Neodiprion lecontei: one gene and its partners. The protein of the gene in region 3 interacts with the protein of the main gene of each other region in a pairwise test. Links are inferred from orthologs where the notes say so. Each region holds a gene or a part of one and is shown on either strand. Other genes may lie near its edges. The genes, in order: CLK4-associating serine/arginine rich protein, UBX domain-containing protein 6 and DAZ-associated protein 2.

The links.
Region 1: the proteins of DAZ-associated protein 2 (region 3) and CLK4-associating serine/arginine rich protein interact in a two-hybrid assay, tested with the Homo sapiens proteins (2 studies listed by BioGRID and IntAct). The link is inferred for Neodiprion lecontei from reciprocal best matches to the Homo sapiens genes DAZAP2 and CLASRP.
Region 2: the proteins of DAZ-associated protein 2 (region 3) and UBX domain-containing protein 6 interact in binary tests that used the Homo sapiens proteins (3 or more experiments, as listed by UniProt). The link is inferred for Neodiprion lecontei from reciprocal best matches to the Homo sapiens genes DAZAP2 and UBXN6.

What each region holds. Positions count from the first base shown.
Region 1 is NC_060265.1:19,892,471-19,900,548, forward strand, and holds the start of CLK4-associating serine/arginine rich protein, read right to left. Parts: upstream 6,041-8,078; 5' UTR 5,897-6,040; coding exon 5,765-5,896; intron 5,280-5,764; coding exon 5,182-5,279; intron 5,039-5,181; coding exon 4,863-5,038; intron 4,765-4,862; coding exon 4,549-4,764; intron 4,415-4,548; coding exon 4,239-4,414; intron 4,100-4,238; coding exon 4,026-4,099; intron 3,380-4,025; coding exon 3,038-3,379; intron 2,928-3,037; coding exon 2,550-2,927; intron 2,474-2,549; coding exon 2,366-2,473; intron 2,158-2,365; coding exon 2,109-2,157; intron 782-2,108; coding exon 718-781; intron 638-717; coding exon 532-637; intron 458-531; coding exon 71-457; intron 1-70. UniProt on the Homo sapiens protein: Probably functions as an alternative splicing regulator. May regulate the mRNA splicing of genes such as CLK1. May act by regulating members of the CLK kinase family.
Region 2 is NC_060260.1:40,958,886-40,966,439, forward strand, and holds UBX domain-containing protein 6, read right to left. Parts: upstream 5,623-7,554; 5' UTR 5,484-5,622; intron 5,109-5,483; exon of another isoform or gene 3,781-5,108; intron 3,719-3,780; exon of another isoform or gene 3,528-3,718; intron 3,053-3,527; 5' UTR 2,921-3,052; coding exon 2,844-2,920; intron 2,666-2,843; coding exon 2,513-2,665; intron 2,404-2,512; coding exon 1,995-2,403; intron 1,908-1,994; coding exon 1,612-1,907; intron 1,533-1,611; coding exon 1,142-1,532; 3' UTR 520-1,141; downstream 1-519. UniProt on the Homo sapiens protein: May negatively regulate the ATPase activity of VCP, an ATP-driven segregase that associates with different cofactors to control a wide variety of cellular processes.
Region 3 is NC_060264.1:32,150,198-32,155,274, reverse strand, and holds the start of DAZ-associated protein 2, read right to left. Parts: upstream 3,025-5,077; 5' UTR 2,843-3,024; coding exon 2,827-2,842; intron 1-2,826. Other genes in the region: uncharacterized protein LOC107217142, read left to right, coding at 3,633-3,712, 3,816-3,901, 4,026-4,189, 4,414-4,606, 4,712-4,882. UniProt on the Homo sapiens protein: In unstressed cells, promotes SIAH1-mediated polyubiquitination and degradation of the serine/threonine-protein kinase HIPK2, probably by acting as a loading factor that potentiates complex formation between HIPK2 and ubiquitin ligase SIAH1.

The DNA of each region.
Region 1 (8,078 bases), on a different chromosome or scaffold from region 3:
CGTTTGTTGCGTTGATCGACATCAAAAAATTAAATGTAAAAATAATGATCAGTATGAATTTAGATTTTACCGATTATTCCTAGGACTGGAAGTTGGCCTTGGAGATTCCTTGTGCCTTCTTCGCGAATCATGCCTGTCTTTGTTCCTATCATCACGTCTGTCTCTTTCCCTTTCCCGTTCCCTGTCCCTCTCTCTCTCTCTTTCCCGGTCTCTATCCCTATCCCTATCCCTCTCCCTCTCCCTTTCTCTCTCCCTCTCTCTCTCCCGCTCCCTCTCCCTGTCCCTGTCCCTGTCCCTATCCCGGTCACTTCCAATATCAATATCTCTAATGTCTCTGTCTCTTCTTTCTCTCCGGATCACTTGGAGTCTGGGGCTACGATTTGGACTCGGACTGCACGAATTTGAGGAATTACTGTCAGAAGTATGCCCTTCATATTTATGCCTCAACTCTCTTTGCCTAAAAATAAAAATATAATTTAATGTTATTAATGAGTAGCCATAATTGTTTCAGAAGAAATTTGACATAAGGACCTTCGACGTAGCTTTAAGGACATCTCTCGAATCTCATCTTCACGATCCTGCCTTTGCTGCTCCATTTTCTCAATTCGTAGCTGCTCAGCTTTTTTATCTGCTTTATCTGTAAGTAAAAAGGTCAACATACTTCCAGTACATTTACGATATTAAACTGGCTTAGGTTTGGTAATTATTATTATTTACATTGCCTGTTAAGCAGTGCTTGCATTTTCTTCTTAAGCCGCTCTTGAGGTGTGGTTTTTGAAGACTGCAATATTAATTTCTTAAAAAATAGTCGATTATGAAATCAGTGATATATAAATGTTCTAAAATTACTTTAGTCAGATACACTGTGTCATTGAAGGAAAATGATTTTAACCCAAGCATAAACTCAATAACGATAACTACTAAAGGATCAAACATGGAAAATGTCACTGTTACCAAGAATCTGGACAAAATAAAATTGAAGATCGTTAGTTCTTCAATGTTCACCAATGAAGAAGTGTTGATTTGTTAACATTTCTGGAGTGTGTAGTTGCGCAAAGTGTATAGGCTACCAATTACCATTTCACCTAAAAATTCTTCAATTGAAATATGCCGCAAAGTAGTTTAACAGAGCCGTAACGAAACTTATCGAAATTTCTTATTTATATTATTGACGCGATAGTTAGGAATTGTGTAGGGAATATTTTATTGATTTTCTACAACTTGAGATTCCTTCTGCTGAAATTCTTTCTGAACCCTCCTTTTGATAGTTTAATGTACTTGAGAAGTTACCTTACATGTGCGAGGTGCTTGTACTTAGCTCCACACAAACACACTTCCGAATTCTGATTTATTCCAAAGGTTTCATCAACTTGGAACAAATTAGAAATTTAATAAACTAAAGATTCTAAAAAACATTGAACTATTGAATGAGGGAGCGGAGAGAAAATAAAATTGTCCGTTATCAAAAACCTGAAGCAACCGTGAACATTTATCTAGAACGTAAATGCAAATACGGGCAAATGATAGAATTGGTAATATTACGAACTATTCAATTCTTTGGTGCAAATATTAAATAATTAGTCTAATCATGCCGTTCTGATTGATATTTAGCAAAAGAAAAATGTAAATAAAATTCTAAAACTAAATTCATTCGTCTGACACACAGACTTGAATTGAATTGTAATCAATTCAATTATCTTCATGTGTGAACGTATTGTTAGTAAACTTGACGTTAAAAATATCTGTAAGTTTGGATCTGTCATTAGAGAGACAAGTATCTATAATTATCTTATTAAGCCGCGCGTAACGAGAACATTAGTAGTAAGATGTCGCCTTGGTCAAAGAACATGATCGTGTTGTATTTGTGTGTACGGGTACTGTCTCCAGCATGTCTTCAACTCAATTATCACAGCAACTCAAAGATTTGTTCAAGCTAAATAATTACTCTATTGAATTGCAAAAATCGTTTTCTATTATTTGCAACTCCATAGAACAAATTCATAAAGTTTAAAACGTCTGGTTAGGCGATAGTAGAAACCGAATAAATATATTTATTCTTTTTGTTTTGTGTATTAAGTGACTAAGGAAGCGTTATGGTTCTTACTGACTTTGTATCCGCCACCAGAATATGTACTTAACCCTGCTTTTGGCTTGTTCCTGAAACAAGAGAGAATTTTGTTAAAAACTTTGTTCGCCTTACCTTGGTTTAAGTTTTACAAAATCTATAAGAAAATCATGTTTTGTTCAATTTTATACAATGATTAAGCCTTCGAAGTTAGAAATCGAACAGATATACTCAATTAAGACCAAAGTATTAATTATTTGAGAACAGTACGCGATTAATGATTTAGTTAGGTGTTCTTACACGCTTGCGCTGATTATCGGAGGCTTAGGCGCCGGTGGAATACTTTTTTCATCGTTATCAGACAATTCCAACTCTAAACTGGAAGACTTGCCTCTCCGACCATAATATCTATAAGCAATACACAATTTAAAACATATGGAATGAGCCTCATAAATTAGTAAGAACAGTAATTTGGTTTTTGCACCTAGGTAAAGCAGGTGTTTTGTTGTCAACACTTTTGGATCGCCTTGTGTTGGAACGACTTCTTGATCTTGATTGAGAATAACGTCTTCTGCGATAACTCTCTTTGGACCGACTCCTGTTTCGTGATCTGGATCGCGACTTTGATTTCGAAATTGAAGAACTACTGCGCGAGGAAGACCGTAACCTTCTTTGACGTGACCGTGATCTAGATCTAGATCTAGACCTCGAACGCGACCTAGACCTTGATTTTGAACTTGATCTTGATACACTTCGGGTACGTGAGCGTTGTTGTAATCTACTTCCTGAATGTCTGTGTCTCGAGCGACTTCGGGTTCTAGATTTTGCATGTCTGGTTGATCTGGAACCTGTGCTTCTCAATCTAAGAGATACATATGTAATTAAACGCGTTTACGCATACGACTTTATTCAGATACAAGTTAATAAAGGATAATATGTTGGTAAGGACTTGTCGGTCAAGCCTCAACTTACCTAGAATGTGAGTTACTTCTTCTCCTGTCACGCGACCTGTATGATTTTGATCTAGTTAACGATCTGGAAGTACTTCGTGATCTGGATTTCGAAATTCTTCGGGAAATCGTTCTGTCCGTGAAGACGGGACTTTCTGATCGCCTTCTCTTCAAATGAGAATAAGTAACTTTTTTTATATTTGTTGTAGTAATCTGGGACGAACTACCAGGTGCTTCTTCTTCTCCACCAAAGCTTGTGATGTAGGTAATTTGTCCAGCATTGATTGGAGAAGCAGATCTTGAGCGGGACTTCGAAGATGATTTTCTATAAGGATTGTATTCCGGGCTCTCTCTGGCTGCGTAACTAGGACATTTTTTGTTATTATGGTATTGAACTTGTCATAAGAATTTCACTGGTAAATCGATTGAAGTAAAATGCTTAAACTCTAGTCAAGTTGCCGCACACCGTTATGTATTTAGCAATAAAAACTTTACTTGTGCTAATTCATTTTTCAAGGTAGAACTCACAAAAATTGCTATAGTAATGCATTCATTGTTCGCAAAATAATTTTAATCGATATTCTGACTTTGTCATGCATTATTGAACTACGAATCATAGATTGTTTTAAATGGTTACGAGAAAGATCTTAACCACGCGACATTTAAAATAATGATGGTCAACCTCTTTTTATCAAATTTTATTGACAAATATTGTGACTATACAAAATGTAGAGTGTATAAAAAATTATTTATACATTTAAAAGGATTTCAAGCTGTTCTGTAGCCTCAATTATTCAGACTAGTGGCAATTTTTCTGAAATGAAGACAAAGTATCAAGACAATACAGTTTCAATGCTGTAGGTCTTCCCTTGGTTTTAATTAGTATCTGACAGAACAATTTTCTGAGTTGATAGAAAATTACCACAAGAAAAAGAGGGGGTTAAATTAATGTATGGCCCAATGACCAAATCTTACAATACGTTAGATGTGAAATAAATCTTGGTAATTACCTTGGTGGACTCATGACTCGACCAATCATTTTCTTTTCCCGAAACGCCCGTCTTTCTCTCCTCGATCGTCGACCCTGGTAACATATAAATTACGAAATTCAAACAAGGTGTTGGCAAGGTTTGCGGACAGTATCTATTGCTTTTCGAATAATTTTCCAAATAAATACCCGTTAATCATACAGTTCTAACAATAAGTAAGCCACTGAAACAAACCGAATACATGGCCTTCTCTTCCTCTTGCTTGCGAGCCTGCCGTAGTGTTTCTGCTTCTTCGACATCTTGTGTCAAGAAACTGAAGTAGTCAGCACCAAGCAGGCCATACTTTTGAGCTACCTGATTCATTTCATGGGCTTGCGATGGTTCTATTTGCGATACATCCACACAAATGTCTAAAGGTACATCAAATCCAATTAATTCACACATTCTGCATAAAATAATCGGTCCTTGATATTTATTAATTAATTTATTTCCAGGTCAACAGTGAGCTGATGAAGTTCGTCAACTTATGGGTTATGCAACTTACCTAAATCAATATCACTATCTTCGTCTTCTGGTTTATCCTCTACACCGATGGTTTCTACTGGCTTGATTGGATCTGAAATGGGTTCTTCTGTCTCATAGTTATATCCGATAGCAGCATTGGCATTTGATTTCTTTTTATCTTTAGCTGCATCGGGCTTGGTGGCAGAACCAAACTGTTCCTCTATGTGAATTTGATGTAGAAATTTTTCCTCTGTTACTATAAACAAAATGAAGAGCATGTTATTCTCAGACAGTCAACCAGTACTTAGCTTTGTAGCAGAATTCAAATAAATGTTAGAATCGATGAATCCAAACCTCCAAGAAATTCGTTTTGAACGATTATACGATAACGTTCATAATTGATATGCCTATCTTCACTGGTTAGCGCAATGTCAACATCTATAGTATCAGGAGCTTCTGGAATCCAATCTAGATGCGCTCTGACATCAAAACGGTCAATTAGATTTTCGTCATTCCCTTGCCACGGCATCCTGTGAATTAATCAATATACAACGAATTTCAGATAAATGTGAGATGAGGATTCTCACATTCAAGTGCCATTCAACGATAAATTTCTTAAAACATGCTAAACTTAGAAAAATGGATGGAAAATAAACAATTATGTTTCACTTACATGTTAGCAGGGCTAGCACCGGCAGCTGCCACAGCTGGATCAAGGTGAATCTTGCATGGCCTACCATGTAATTGCAGAAACTGAGTGGGATCTGATTTCTGAGAGTAAAAAATGTTGCGTTAATCTTGCGTTGCAAGTCAGAAAAATAACAGTGTGGATCCACTGTATGTCACAAACGAATGGCTTTTCTTATGACATAAAACCCAAAAGTAAGAAATTACATTATTCGAAACTAACAAGCTGATAATAATTTTTGGTTCGTATGAATCAAGAGAGTATTTTGTCAGAAATCTGTCAAGACTGCATGTATGCAAGAGACAATGTCTGTAAATTTCCATTAGATAAATCGAAATTGGAAAGCTCAGGTCAAGCCGCATGACAAGGAAGAATCTATCATATTCTTTGATATAATCAAATTGTGAATAAAATTGTTTACAATCTGTGAATAGGCCATACGATTATGCGAAGCGATGAAAAAATTGCAGACTGCTACAAAACTGCGAGAATTAATTCAGAAATACTTGGAAATATGTTTACATAGGTTGAAAAAGTGGTGGTTTCACCCGTGAGTAAAATATCTTACAATTTTTTCATAATAATCCCGGCGACGTTCCGCCCGTCGACGGTAGTCAACCAACATTCCACGAATCTTCTTCTCCTGCTTCCGTGCCTCGTGCCACATCCGTCCGCCAGTTTTTTTCACGGAAAAACTCATTTTGGATGCGATGAGTAGCCTTTGTCACTCGGGATACCACAATACTTTCATTTACTCAAACATTTCACGAAATAATTGAAAGTCTGCAACTCGCTCACTCACTTCTTGCGCTTCCCCGCCATGATGGTTTACTTACCGGAATCCACCGGAATCCATGGCTGATGAAGCACGATCATTGGTGGTCTCTTTCCGGCTCCTCCATTTGTCCATGTCCTGGGTAAGGTAGATTTTCTCATTACCGTCTGATTTCTGTAATCTGTAATTTCACTTTTCACATTTCCCACCATTCAAGCATTCTGATTAGTTGACTATACTTCACAAACTAATCAGAATGCTCAAATGGATAAAATTCTTTGTTTTTCGGCTTTACCTTTTTGTGCGTTGCTCACAGCGTGTTGGGACTGCGCTGATTACGTGATGCATACTATAAATTTTATAATTTTCCGGAGACAAACTAGATTATCTACAATAATATGGCTATAATGTGAAAGAAGAAAAATTATTCATTTCAAAATGGGATTCTATTCGACACGCGCTCGATGTATCCCATAACATTAATATTCAAAATTATTCCAACAACTTTTCATTTGCTCTCTCGATCTTGAATTTTCGTAGGAATATAATCGAAACGCTGTTCTAGCTAGTCGAGAGTAAAGTATCTACGTTAGGTAGAGAAGCAGAATTGTTTTTCGGAAAGTAAGTATTCGGATGGAAAAAAATTCGGAGTAAGTGTAATACATCACGAGTGCGCTAATTTTGAAGGAGATGAAATGGATTCACCGTATATGAGACAGTATTTAACGCAGTGTCGTGATTTAGGGAGCTAAAAAGATGATAGAGAGAGAATGAACGAAGCTTCTTAGAACATCGAGCGTATTTTAACACACATTTGAAAGGTAGGAGTAAAATTTTTCATCATTCAACTGTCGCAGAACGGCAGCGTTATTAACCGACCCGTTAACTGAAGGATATATCTTCAGTCAACGGCGGACCATCGAAGGGCCTGGCCGCTTGAGTCTGGAATCGGCAGGGGAGATAAAGTGCGTATTTCTTGTATGAAATGTGAAAACTAAAATCATTATACATCATATCACATCATCATACATCATACATCGTACATCATACATCATACATCATCATACATAGTACTAAAGTTCCAAACCAAAGTTTGGATGTCGGATGTTCAGAAAGTCACGTCACCCAATTTTTTTTTTCTCTTGACGTAATCGATTTGAAATCGGCTAGCAGAATTCCTCAGTCTGGAAACAGCCGCGCAGTAGAGCGGACGGGTGAGAATCGCGCTCTGCAGATTTCGAGTACCGGGTTCTCTACCTTCTCGATCCTGCGCTCCGGGTCTGCTACCTGGTGGAACTTGACTTCCAGGACAAGCGCTCCGTAGTTTCTGTGCTCCAGGCCCGCTACCTGGGGAAATTCGATTTCCAGAACGAGCGCTCCGTAGTTCTGGCTGTCCAGGTCCCTGAGCTAGTGACTTATGACCTTCAGTACTAATTTTCCGTAGTTCTGGCTATCCAGGTCCTTCACCTGGTGGATTTTGACATCCAGGAAAAGCGCTCCGTAGTTGTGGCTGTCCAGGTCCTTGACTAGGAATTGTAATTATATTTGATGTAAAATTTTTTAAACTTGTCATGTTAAAACAAAGTATTTCAATTCATTTTTCGCGCAAGGACAAATTCAGTAGCTATGAATGCGCTAATAGAATTCATGATGTTATAAATTGGTTAATTGATTATACTATTACTCACGCGATATTTTTGATACGTTCTTATACTGAAGATATTTATTACTATTCCAGGTATATCCGTGGTGTTTATCGGTGGTTGTTGGAGGTGGTTGGCGGTGGTTGGTGGCGGTCAGAGGTGAACGAGGAGGAGAACGAGGAAGACGAGGAGAACAAGATGGACGAGGAGGAAGAGGATTTGTGCTCGGTGTGTAAAACACTTTTATAATATTTGATGGCAATTGTAAATATGTTTTATCTAATATATTTCAAACTTGTCATGTTTACATCGAATTATTTCGATTCATTTTTCGCGCAAGCACATATTCAGTAGCTATCAATGCGCTAATAAAATTTATTATATTATTAATTAATTAATTACATTAATCCTTACACAATATTTTTGATATTTTCTTATACTGAAATAATTTATTACTATTTCAA
Region 2 (7,554 bases), on a different chromosome or scaffold from region 3:
TCACTAATACCGGTGGCTGACCAGCCTGCTGTGGTCTGCGACGAAACAGTTTCGTTAATTCCCACCGAGGACGCTACCTATTCCTTGAGTCTGAGGTGGTTGCCTGTGACAAGGCGGACTTACGCGCTGATTATGATTTCAAGGTGCCTCGATATAGTATCGAACATGTGGAATAGAATTTGACATTGGCCCACTTCGTATTCATGCAGACCCATCAGTGGAAAAAGTTGAATAAAATTCTTTTCTACGCCGTTCTTACGAGTTGATATCGTGGGCAGTCTAATGATGGGTTGAAGAAAAGCGGTGTATAAATCTAGACCATTTGTAACAAGAGTATTCCTTGATGTTTCATATTTTTGATCCCAGCTTACATTAAACTGTAGTCTAATTGAATTACCACTCTTTTGAATGACGCTCAAGAAATTTTAGCCTGTCTAAATTCTCTGGTTCTACACGATTGACCGAACTGGGTAGGAGACAAAGTGTACAAGAAAAAATGATGAGCACATAGTACAGAAATGAAAATAAAACGTGATATTTATTCCAATCGTCTTTTTTTTTTTTCCTTTTTTAACAAGTATGGATTCAATTACAAAGAGAATATTTTGCTATCAATAGTGTACAATACCTGTATGTCCATAGTGTTGCATTTACCCCTGGCAATCATTCAGCAAAACATCCCGTTATTCGCATTATTAGGGGGGACATTTCTATTAAAAGGTATAATAAGACGTAAGCATGTCATAATTCGACGTCAGACAGCAGAGAATATTGTCTCCGTCTTTAATTGATCTATTCAGTTTCAAGTTTCTTTTTTCCCTTGCGTATTGATTTCAGTTTCATCGTCTTGTAGAATATCAAAAACAGAACCAAACCGTGTGTGAGACGGCGGAACGCGACGATGTCTACAATCAATCAGCACCGTGAGCACAATGGTCACCCATTAACTCATTCAAAATCGAAAATTTTGTTAATTTGTTGCATCGTTTTCTACCAATGTGTTAGAATTTGATTTTTCTATAGCTTGAACAATAACAAAGACTCCAAACTTCGCTTCGTGTGAAACTAGAGTGTCCGTGCTTACCATTGTCGAGTGGAAGGTGATGACGATAAAATCATAGCTCGACTAGGGTGAGGAGGCTTACGTGGACTGTATCAGGCAGATAATTTCTTCTTTGAGATATTCGGTGGGTCCCTTGGTATCTAAAATCTCCGTATCCCAGCTGAAATTCAGTATTGATGCGGGGACCAGTCTGTTGTCAACCAAGGTCTTTTCATAGTCTTCATTCCCGAGACGATGACCCGTCGGCGTTGTTAAAACGAACGGTATCTCGTCACTGATCAAATTCTCTCTGACAAATTCTACGACGTTCTCGACCCTTTCGTAAACCGCGAAGGTGCCTTGAAGCATTACCCCGTCCGGGAAACGCACCCGTATCAAGGCGTAACGGTATTTCTTCATTTCTCGCAATTCCTCTTTTTCCCGCATCGCCTTCGTACGGAGAATTTGACTCTTTGCTACCGCTTCAGACCTGTGCTATGAAATAAATTTTTGCCAATACGTGTCAACTGCTATATTTTCAAGCCAAAATAAGAAAAATAGTGGCGCACCTGAGCTGATGCTCCTTCTTAATCTCCTCCGGCGATATGGTGAAGAAAATTGGAGGTAATTCGTTTCTTTTCGCTGCCTGACTGGGCAGTAAGACTTGTAAGTTTCTGTCCAACTCAATTCGAACGGGCTCTGCCGTCCTCAGAGCATCAACCAGTATACCGACTTGCTCGATCGAAGATTTTTCCGGATTCCAAACCAGGAAGTCCTCTTCCTGTTCCTGATGCGCTAGTTTGACCATCTCAAACCCAGCGGCTTTAAACAGCTGCAAGGCACCCTCGACGGGCTTCACTTTGTCCTACACATTGAACAGGTATCGCTTAAATTCACGAAGAAATCATTCGATTCGGGTATCTTACATTGTTATTCCAACCCTTCTACACACCTGAAATACCCGATTGGACATTCGTATTTTCCAGTATTTCTCCTCCCCCGGATTATTGATGATATTTTCAAGGTACTTGCACATGGTTTCGACACACTGTTCAACCTTTTCTTTCCCGGCATTACAACTATGAATGATGAGGCAGGCGGTGAGTCCGGGCTCCTCGTAATTGAGCTGCTCGTAAAGGAACTGTCGAATCTTGCTCTTCCACTCGTCCCTGGTTAATATTTCGTCAGAAATAATCGGACAGCGAAAATAAACCCCGCGTACAGCGAGCAGCGGGTTTGCCTCGACCTCCTGTGGGATTTTCTGCTCCTTTGGCAGCGCGATTTCCTTTGCCTCATTACTCGCCGCTTTTCTCTCCGCCTCCAGTTCTCGTTTGACTTGTGCCTGGATAGCCGCGTACGATCTGCGAATAAGCAACAAGTGAGCAAAATTTTGGTAAACTGTTCATCCATCGTGATTAATGATCATGTAGGTATACTAGGAACGAAATCGAAATCCCTGGCCGAACTTACGTGTTGAACTTTGTCGGGTCTGGCCTCTTCGACTCGAGCCTCGCCAGGGCAGCTTGTCCTGCAATTTTAGCTTCTGTGGTTGGTTCCGCCCGCGTCACTGGCTTCACTGTTTCGTTAGAGTTCGATTTTGATGAACTCGTCGATTCGGTTAATCTGCAAACACGGAAAAGAAGAATATAATCTTAGTTTTCTTTGTAGTTGTGCAGTTCAAAAACTTCAAAACGCTTAAATGCCTGTCGAATAGAAAAAAAAAAAAAAAATTTCGGAGTGACTGACAGCTCTCTGACTAATTTTTGCAACAGTGAATACGTATCACACGTTTAATACTAACTTGTACCCCTTTCCAGCCATCTTAAATTTGGCATCGGATTTCTTTTTCTGGAAAAATGCTTTGATCTTGTCCGCCATGTTAGTTGTTTTCGGTTGGCACTCGATAAAGAGTTAGCTGGTGAATGATTTTCTAAACCCGCGGGGAATGCTCCTTGGGTAACTTCAATCGGGAGACGCTCTTCTTCAGTTCCTCAACGGCAGCAGAAGTCGCTGAAAGTTACAAATTTTCATTAACACACTCCAACTACCAATAAGGTGAAAAGTAATCTATGAGTACACATACCATATAGTCAGCTGTGTATTAATACATGCGATAAGAAAAAGCAGTGTACGAATTTAAAATGGGTCAAATATACACCTGGCTCTGCGAGGATGGCGTCAAGAGTTTTCGGAATCTCTAGACACATGGCTACACAGTCTTAACTGCATCATTTCTGTGGGTGTATAATTACATACTATACTTGTCGTTAGTCGAGAACTTTATGCCACCCGTGAAACAGAAGCAGATAATATGATCTACAGGAAAATACACCAAATTTGGAAATGTTTTGCATACTTGGATCTGGTACTATGTCTAATTTGAATTGCTACAATTTTTATGACTCTTTACAAAAGTTGTCTTCACGAATACTGAACGTATTTAAATTATATGAAATATTTCTTCATAAAAACTTTTCTGTTTCAGTAGAGACCGTGATGATACAATGAGTTTGGGGACATTGTAAGCTACCGCTGGCCGTTACGTTTAACCTACTGTTTTCAAATATGTCCAAGCATGACAGATATACGCCTATATTACCGTTGACCGCTGCTTTAGAATCCATAAGTCCTACTACGCGCATGTACATACATTGTATAGGCCCTCTACTGATTCAATTACTGCCGCAATTGATTACTCTTTAAATACCTAAAATATCCTTTCCTCTATTTTTACTCACGTTGAATTTCCAGTCGTTTACAAGATGTGTCGCATTCATTAAAACAGATGGATGATCATTTTCATTATTATGAACATTGTTATCTTTACAAAATTATCATTTCAAGTGGGGAACGAAAGTTAGACGAGAAAAGAAATCGATTTTTTCACACAGATATGTTAAGAATTTCAAGGTCGTTATAATATATACAGTGCAATGTACACCCAAGAGTACGACTATAACGGAAAGTTTTCCGCGAAGCTCAACCCCGTACGTCGTCCAAACAATCGATGAATTCTGCAGTCATTAATTAGGATGAATGCTTCAAGATTACTGCTTTCCATTTTATCGTGCACCATTATCAGTGCATCGTCTGTATAATTGTGACGCACAGAAGACAAGGAAGCTCAAGATAAGAATGTGCAAAAGTACGAAACAAACATTCTATTCAAACCGTTTTTCATGTGAAAATATTCAGATCAAGACTTATACAGGACAGTAATTAGTGTATTATATTCCTATAACTAGTTTACAACATAAATAATACTATATTCTCACAACTTCAAATAATGGAGAAAATGCATGCACAGAACTTTCCCTGCCACATGTATATTACCTACACCAGTGCAGTGAATGACTGTTAACTCGTCATACGTGTCCTGCACTATCGCTATCAATTTTGTGGTATTCTATGAAACCAAATTTAGTATGAAAAATAACATTTGTCGAGTGAGTAGGTTTTCAGAGATAATATGTTTGTGAGGTAGACAATGTTAGGTACAATCGTTTCGCTTCCTCGTCTTGAAGTAAAACCTGAATAAGTAGTTGTAATCCACACGTATGATCAAATAACGCTATGCACGTTGTATTGTTATACATTATAGCAACAACAAATACGTACATATGTAGAGGTGAAGGTCACATCTTGCATACAGTGCAAGCGTCTGGTAGCATTGCGTAAATGCAGTGCATAAATGTAATTCGTAAGATGATCCCGAAATGAAACGACCGAAACGATTCTGGTCTTGTTAGGAGGGTATACTTATCTTACCTTCCGTGACAATTACAATTTGCATTTGATTGACGTGCTTTATAACTAAAGTATTCGAAAACGATTTTATTCCAGATATTTTTTTCACTCTGCCAAGTTCTTCGGTGAAAAGAAAATTGATTTAGTGTGCCTACTCGAAAGGATAAAATTGAACGGCAATATGAACACGCTGAAGTTCGCAAATTTCAGCATAAATACGTTGCAGCGTGACCGAGCTTGTTTTTAAATTAAAAAATGGAATGCCCTCTATATACAACACAAATCCAGACTAATGACACTGGATGATTGATCACGGCGCACATTAATTAAAATGTGAAACTAAGTGTAAAAGCATCGGCGACCGTTACCTGCGAGGTTACTTAAGACACAACAGATATACCTGAACGCAGGTGCAGGGAACCAGTCTGACCAGACTACTGCAATTCGTAATGCGTGGATCAACGAGGTTGAAGTTAGCAACGTTATCGTGACGAAACGTTGGGGAAAAAATGCCTATTTTCGTAACTTTACAACACTGATTATAAAAAAACTGAGATTTCGAAAAATGAATGTTTTGTTTTATTACCGTTTAATGAATTTCCGAAACTTCCAAAATCGTGAAATAACGGTTTTCCCTCGGCATGAATCGTCACGATAACGTTGCTAACTTCAATATGATATAGATGATAGTTACGTTTAGTTGATCCCTGGTGTGACGCAATGCCACGAGTCTGCCAGTACGCAAGTATGCATATACGCGTGAGAAGAGAAAAGGTGAAAAGAAAACGTGACCAAATCTGTCAAATCTGTTTTTCCTGGCTGACCTGGTTTCATGAACCGATCGGATATCCGATCGCCGTAAACGTGCCAAGCAACGTATATGAGGGCGACGTTGCTGACGAGGATTAAGGCGAAGAGTTTGAAGAGCTGGAGCTGAAACTCGTCGAAGGCGAGCCAGGCGGAAAACTCTTGGAAAAATTCAAGTAGCGTCTGGTGTTGTTGGCCGTATGCGTCGTTTTCGTTACTCGCCGATGTGCCCGTCGAGTTTGAGGTTAGCAAGCCGAGTGTCGCGAGTACGAAGCTGGCCAAGTCGCAGGCGATTGTATTGATTTCGTCCAAGAGTGAACCGCTCCCAGGAGCCGAGTCCTCGCATAAGCTGATCATCACACGCGTCACCTGATCATCCCCTTTCGTTCTCCTTTTTCTATTTTCAATTTTACTCTCCTTTTACTCCTCCTCAAACCCTCCGAGTTTCCTTGACACACCGACGATTTTTATAATCCCGACCGTACGGAACGGGAATTCGGCCGCACGTGACTTTCAATTCGTTCACGCCTATCCACGGTGGACTCTTTACCATGACTGAACACTTACCGACAACACGAGCGGCGTCCTATCCCCCCTCCCCCAGAAAACTCTCCGACACCACTGACATCTAACAGCTCTCGATCTAACGATGCTGTCTTCGTTCAGCGAAGTTCCCGGTTCCGTTACGACCAGTCGGTAACCGACGGATCGTCATCCGACAGTTTTTTATTTACCTCGAACAGGATGAATACCTCGGATTGGATTTGACAATTGGAAGTCAGGTTGACCACGGCAGTGCCGATGATGACAGCAAAACGTTACGAAATCATTTGCCCCCAGATAGCGGGTTCGAGTTATTGGTTACCCGTTTGAAGTTTAATTCAAATAAATCGGACGATATTGGAACGACTTTTCTCCCCATTTTTACTGATACTATACTAAAACTGATGTAAAAGAAGAAATATTACAAATGGCTGAATAACTATTGGAGTACCTTGATATATTTCGAATTCCGAAGACCTCGGATTAAAAGGAAATTGAACAGAATCGCGACTAATCGATTAGACTAATCTATATTGCGGTTTTTTTAAATGAATATTTGGGTTGATACAATGATTTCGAATTGATCTGAAAAAAAATTGAAAATTACAGTTATTCGGAACTTTTAGCGTCAGAAAGGGAGAAAGAAATGAAGGTTTAAACCCATGGTTGAGCCTCGCGTTGTAATATAAGATGACACATCTCACCAAATTTTAATTAGAACACACGGCGCAGCGTAAGAGGAGTAATGGGATAGGAGAATAACTTGTATAGAAATTTTCTTACGAAATAATGCATTTTATACAGTTTGCATTACGATATAAGTATATCGATTATAGGTATTAACGTATAAACTTGAATTAAGATTAATAAATATCATGAACTACGGTACAAACGGTGATGTATTAACATTGGATTAAAATCACACGTGATAATACTACGAATATGATTACGATTAATAATACGTTTTGTTTCCTATAATACTCCTCGAAACGAGCCGATCACACTCTTCGTAATTAGCTGCCAATTGCATTTAGTGCGTGATTCAGCGTTCATTCGGCCATCGCGTAACGCCTACTAATCTTGCAAGAAGATTTCTGAGGTGACAAACGGAATTTCTTTAGAAATCACACGTGAAGCCTACAGCGTTTCACGACGAGAATGTTTAGTACGTTTGTAAGTATTTACGGCAAGACCGCGTTTTCAATCGTTTTTAACGTGAAAACTTGCGGTAGCACAATAGGCGATAAGCCGATGGCTCGTGGCCAATTTGGTCGAATATCCCACAAGAAAGTACACGAAGGATAAGGCAAAGCGAAATGAAAAACGATCGCCTTTGTCCGAATATTTCGTAACCATGGAAATTCACCCGAATGCCCCAAGTTGACATCAAGAGTGCTGAAGGAGTAATAATGAGT
Region 3 (5,077 bases):
AAAAATATAATCCGCTCGATAATTAATCGCAGCTAAGAAGAGTGTAATTGTTTGTTCTTGTTTTTTTTTTTTTTTTTTTTTTTTTTATTCAAGCTTTCGGTACCAATTCCAGATGGGTAAAAATGTCGATACGCACATGTATTCGATTTTTTTAATATTCGTCGTGACATCGAGTCAAATCAATTATCATCGTTTAACTGTTAAGTAAAATTATCACCTAATCATCAAGTAGGATTATCGTTAAACTGTCGAGTGGAATTTGCATAGAGTTTTATTAGTCACTTTCCTTCCGTTGAAGGTTAACGAACTGTAATGTACGAATACAGAACGTCAGAAGGATATGCAAATTGGGTTAATTTTCATTGGAATATATTGAAATCAGAACTAATTCGAGTCACACCCTCATTCGACCTTATAAGATGACATAAACGATGATTCAACGGTACTCCGTGGCAGTTATTTTTCTTCAGCTAGCTAATAAAGTTGAACATCTCGCGAAGAGAATCGATTACGATTGCCATCTTTTTTTTTTCTTTCACCTTGTCAAGAAGCTGCGTAAGTTTAACGAACCAAGGAATTCGCTCTGTTTGATTTGTGTCTAATAAAAATATTTCGTTGCACGCGTTTTTCGGTTTTATGAATTGAGCTTCTTTTCTTTTCTCTCCAAGTCTGAGCTTGCAGCGCTTTGAAATATCGAATACCGACTGATGGTCATTCTTTACAGTTTTTTCACAAAATTGTACACTATCCCGTCCTTTTCTTCAATTGCATTCTTTAAGAAGGATATGGGAAAAGCTGACTTTTTACTTTCCTTTCGCTGAACGTCTAACGATCACACGGTTTAAATGAAAGTATGGATGCAAAAAACCGTAAAACAATAGAAGAAAAAAAAGAAAACGCCAGGCATACCCTATAGGACCTTTTCCTCAGGACGAAAAGTATTGCTAGGAGAGACGAACCGAACTCCGTTGAAATATCCGGCGGTAGGTAGGTACCTGAAAATTCATAAAAAAAAAAAAAAAAAAAGATCGACCTCAACTTACTCCCGGGAGTCATTTGTCATGACTTTCACACCGATTTGTTTCTTCTTCTCTTGGGTGAAATTAAATTTCGTAACGAAGATGTTAACCATGCATCTTGTTGAGAGTGGTTTTATTATAATTTTTTTTTTTTTCAAACTGTAAAGAAACCACACCAGACGTTTCAATTAAAGATTCGGCAATCGGAATACAACTAAGGAATCTGTATTCTAGTTACAATTATTATCAATTCAAAGGCTTTCGAGTGTTAAAACATCATTTATTCAATCATTATTGAGTGTGAAGATACTTCGGTTGTCCCTATAATAATTTTAAATTGCATGAGACACCGGCGGGATGAAAAATGCCGAGATAACGACCGATTGCGCAGAATTGTGGGAACGTTTTCTCGCTCGACGTTGCGGTGAAATATTTCATGCTACCATCAGCCATATTTTGGACCGTAAGTCGTTACGCGAATATCGTGAAAACCGTTCTAAGGTCGTTTGGCTCGTATGTAGAGAACAATTTATCGTCATTGATATTTTTCAGTATTATTTTCAGAAATTTCAGAGTTACGGACGTTACAAAAAACCAAATTTTTTTTGCCATCAACGATTATAATGAAATAATTCTTAACTCAGGATATATTACGGATATAGAGAATGTAGTCCCTAAGTTACGAATTCTTGGATACAGAGAAACACCGTTTGACAAAAAACAGACATTTTCCAATGGCCGCGCGACTTTGAGAATTCTTAAAATAAGTGAAACATACGAAAATCAAGAATACGTTTCTGCGGACCGGAACTAAACACAATCAAACATATTCGTAAACAATATCCGAGGTTCCAATTTAGCATACAGAATACCCGATTTATTTTTATTTTTTTTTTTTATCTTTTTTTTTTTTAATTCCATTTTCATGATAAAACTCTTCAAGCGTAATGAAACAAGATGTGTAATTCGTATTTTTGTTCCATTTCGTCAGACAAAAGCGCAACGCTTGTTTTACATGTATTTAATGATGATATTGAGCTTGGAAGCTAGGCAACATAATATCAGCGTAAAGTTTTCACTCGACCGTTCGATTTGTGGACATGTTTTACGGATATTGTGAAATAACGATCGCGTAGAAACTGAGCGAAAGACGTTCCTCCGCGAATCATAACTCATAAAAGAGATGCGGGGTATACGTGGGTACATTTAATTTCTATCCAGGTTCTCTCCAAGGCCGGTGGCCATTTTGTATATTCCTACACACTAGAATCGCGTCGTCGGTAGGTCGGCCGGAGTATTGATCTACTTGGTGGGATGTGCATTGCAAGTTTTTCGAACGAATTTATGCTGCATCCCGATTCGTTCCGGACGCGGTTTTTATGACACGCTCAATCGATACGCGTAAGCCCGATCCGAATACGATTGATATTTACCGAGCGGGATTCGATTGCTTCAGTATTGAGCGGATTTTCCGCACCTAACAATCGCTCATTACTTACACCGAGTACGTTAATTATCCTTGGAGAGGAATGGACGTGCGTTAGGCTCGCTAATTTTCAACGATTCTCTTCCGTTTGTCGCGTCTACTTTTCACCTAATTTTCGAACGTTCCTTTTTTTTCCTCTCTGTCTCTTTCTCTCTTTCTCTCTCTTTCTCTATTTTTTTAGATCACATCGAAAATATTCCCTATCTATCTCATCTCTCTTTTTCTCTCTATTTCTTCTCGTATATTATAATATTGTTGAAAACGTAATAATCGTGAGGTAATTTCATTCGATATTATAGTGATATTTTGCTGGATAATTACCTTTTTTGTCAGTCATTATTGCTCAAACGGTATTTTTGCGCACGGATTATTTATTCAATCTAATAATTATTTTCGTTAAAATCACCAAATATTTCTACTTGTGTTTCGAGTTTAGAATACGAGAATATGGCTGCTTGACACTTGACACTTGAGACACACGCGCTACTCCACCTGACGGACGGACTACGACTTCAACGAACCAACTGCCTCGCACTCTACCCAAGATGTATAGATTGGCGACTCTGTGCTACCGGCTAGCGTCTAACTTTTGCGCCTATCAAATATCGTCTAACTATCGTAGTTCCAAAGTTTTTCGTTCTTTACGATTTGTCTTTAATTAGAGCTTAAAATGGTATTTAAATTAACAAAGAACTTCTGTCTCCCTATTTTCGCACACCCATATCAATGAGAAAATAATACTTTGCCATTTTGTGTCTTTAGGTTAAATTGAAAGAAATCATATTTCATCAATTTGCCTTGAAATAATTCGTTCGTATTTTATTTTCAGGTAAAATTTAGTACGTAATCTCACTGTAATATAATAATACTGTATTTTAGTGCATATCCTTCTGAGATTTTTGTTTTTATTTATACATATTCTGACGATGAAATTTGTAGAATTATTCGCGGGCAAATCGAATCGTTTGAATTCAGTTCTGCGCGCGTTGCTCATTGTTGCGCCCTCCGACGCTGCCGTACGGCTCGCTTAGAAACAGCTGTATCATGCATTTGCTGTTAATTTGAGTGGAGAAAAGTGAGGTTACGTTTCTCTTGTTCATCGTCAAGTATTACACATATCAAAAATCATGGCTCAAATTTTCGGTGAAATTGTTGAGCCGGAATCACGAGCCTTTTGGGACGACGACGAGCTCGATGCTTCGCAATTGTAATTATCCGTAGTCGATTTTAAACTATTCAACGCTAAAGAAAGTGTCCATTGATTAGACTGAACGTTCAGCAAAGACATGAAATATCTATCTATTTTATAGCCAGTATCAACTACGATGGTCCGGAGACAACGTGATGCCGTCGTCGATAAAGACTTTCCTTATTGTCGAAGGAAGCGTCGTATCTGGTATTCTAACTTTGTAGGATCTATGGATTTTAGTATCATTGTAATAGAATTACCGCTCTGCAGTACTCTAATGGGAAAGAAGAGTATTTTTTCGAAACCATCGTAATCGAGGTTTCTGTTTCAGACTTCACGAGAATGTGCAGCCTCGGCAGAGGCGAGAACGAAATATGCATTATAGAGCATGGAAGATTCAAAGCATCGAATATTTATAAAATCAACAACGATTTGTACACCTGTCTCGTCAGTCCGGATCTGGACGCGAAACACTCGACCGAATTTATTGCGACGGTAACTGAATTGTATTCAATTTATTTCATTGTCTGCAATCTGCTTAAAATTGTTCGTACTGATAATATCGTGATCGTTATTACTCAGTGACTTCATGATGTTCGAAAATTGACCGTTAATTCGGGAAACATGCAATCGACTTTCTCAAGATAGTTCGGAATTTGAATGATTGAAAAAAAATCGTACTGCGATTGCGCGCGATAATTTCAAATTGTGTTTTTCAGTTGACAGATTTTCTGCTGAACGCCGAGAAGATAATAACTCTCACATGCCAGCACGTTTCGTCGTACAAATCAGACGTCGCGCCGATTTTGCCGTCTTTTCTCCAATCGCTGTCCACCAAAAGCGGTAAATCGCCGTTGAATGACGTCGAACGTGTCAAACAACCCAATATAGTTCATGGAATTGCAGCTGGAGGTTTGTATTTGTAATATTATATCTTAAATGGCCAACCGTTTTTTGCCATCAGTTCCGTGTGGGAAAATTCATTTTCCTCAACCGATAAAATTATTCACATTCCAGTAATGTCGTATGCTGAAATATTCGAACTCTCTGCTGTGCTGTACGTACTTTACGTGGAAGAGTTTCTACTCGATTCGGAGACAGCTATGCCCTTGGTGAAATTGTTTGCTGCCATTCCAGGTAGTCTATTACACGATCCAGTCTTCAAGCAGAGTAGTTTTAGCAGCAGAGGTAATTTGTACATGTAGATCATAATGTCGTTTGTGCCTTCTTTGATAAACTTTGTAATAAAAATTATTATTTCCGTACCTCATTTTCTTGTGATTCGAATAATTTTATACTTGCTTGGACTCTCAGAAGCGGGACATCTTGAGATTGGATTGAAGTTAGAGATTGTTGACATGTCAATATTTTGTTGGTACATAT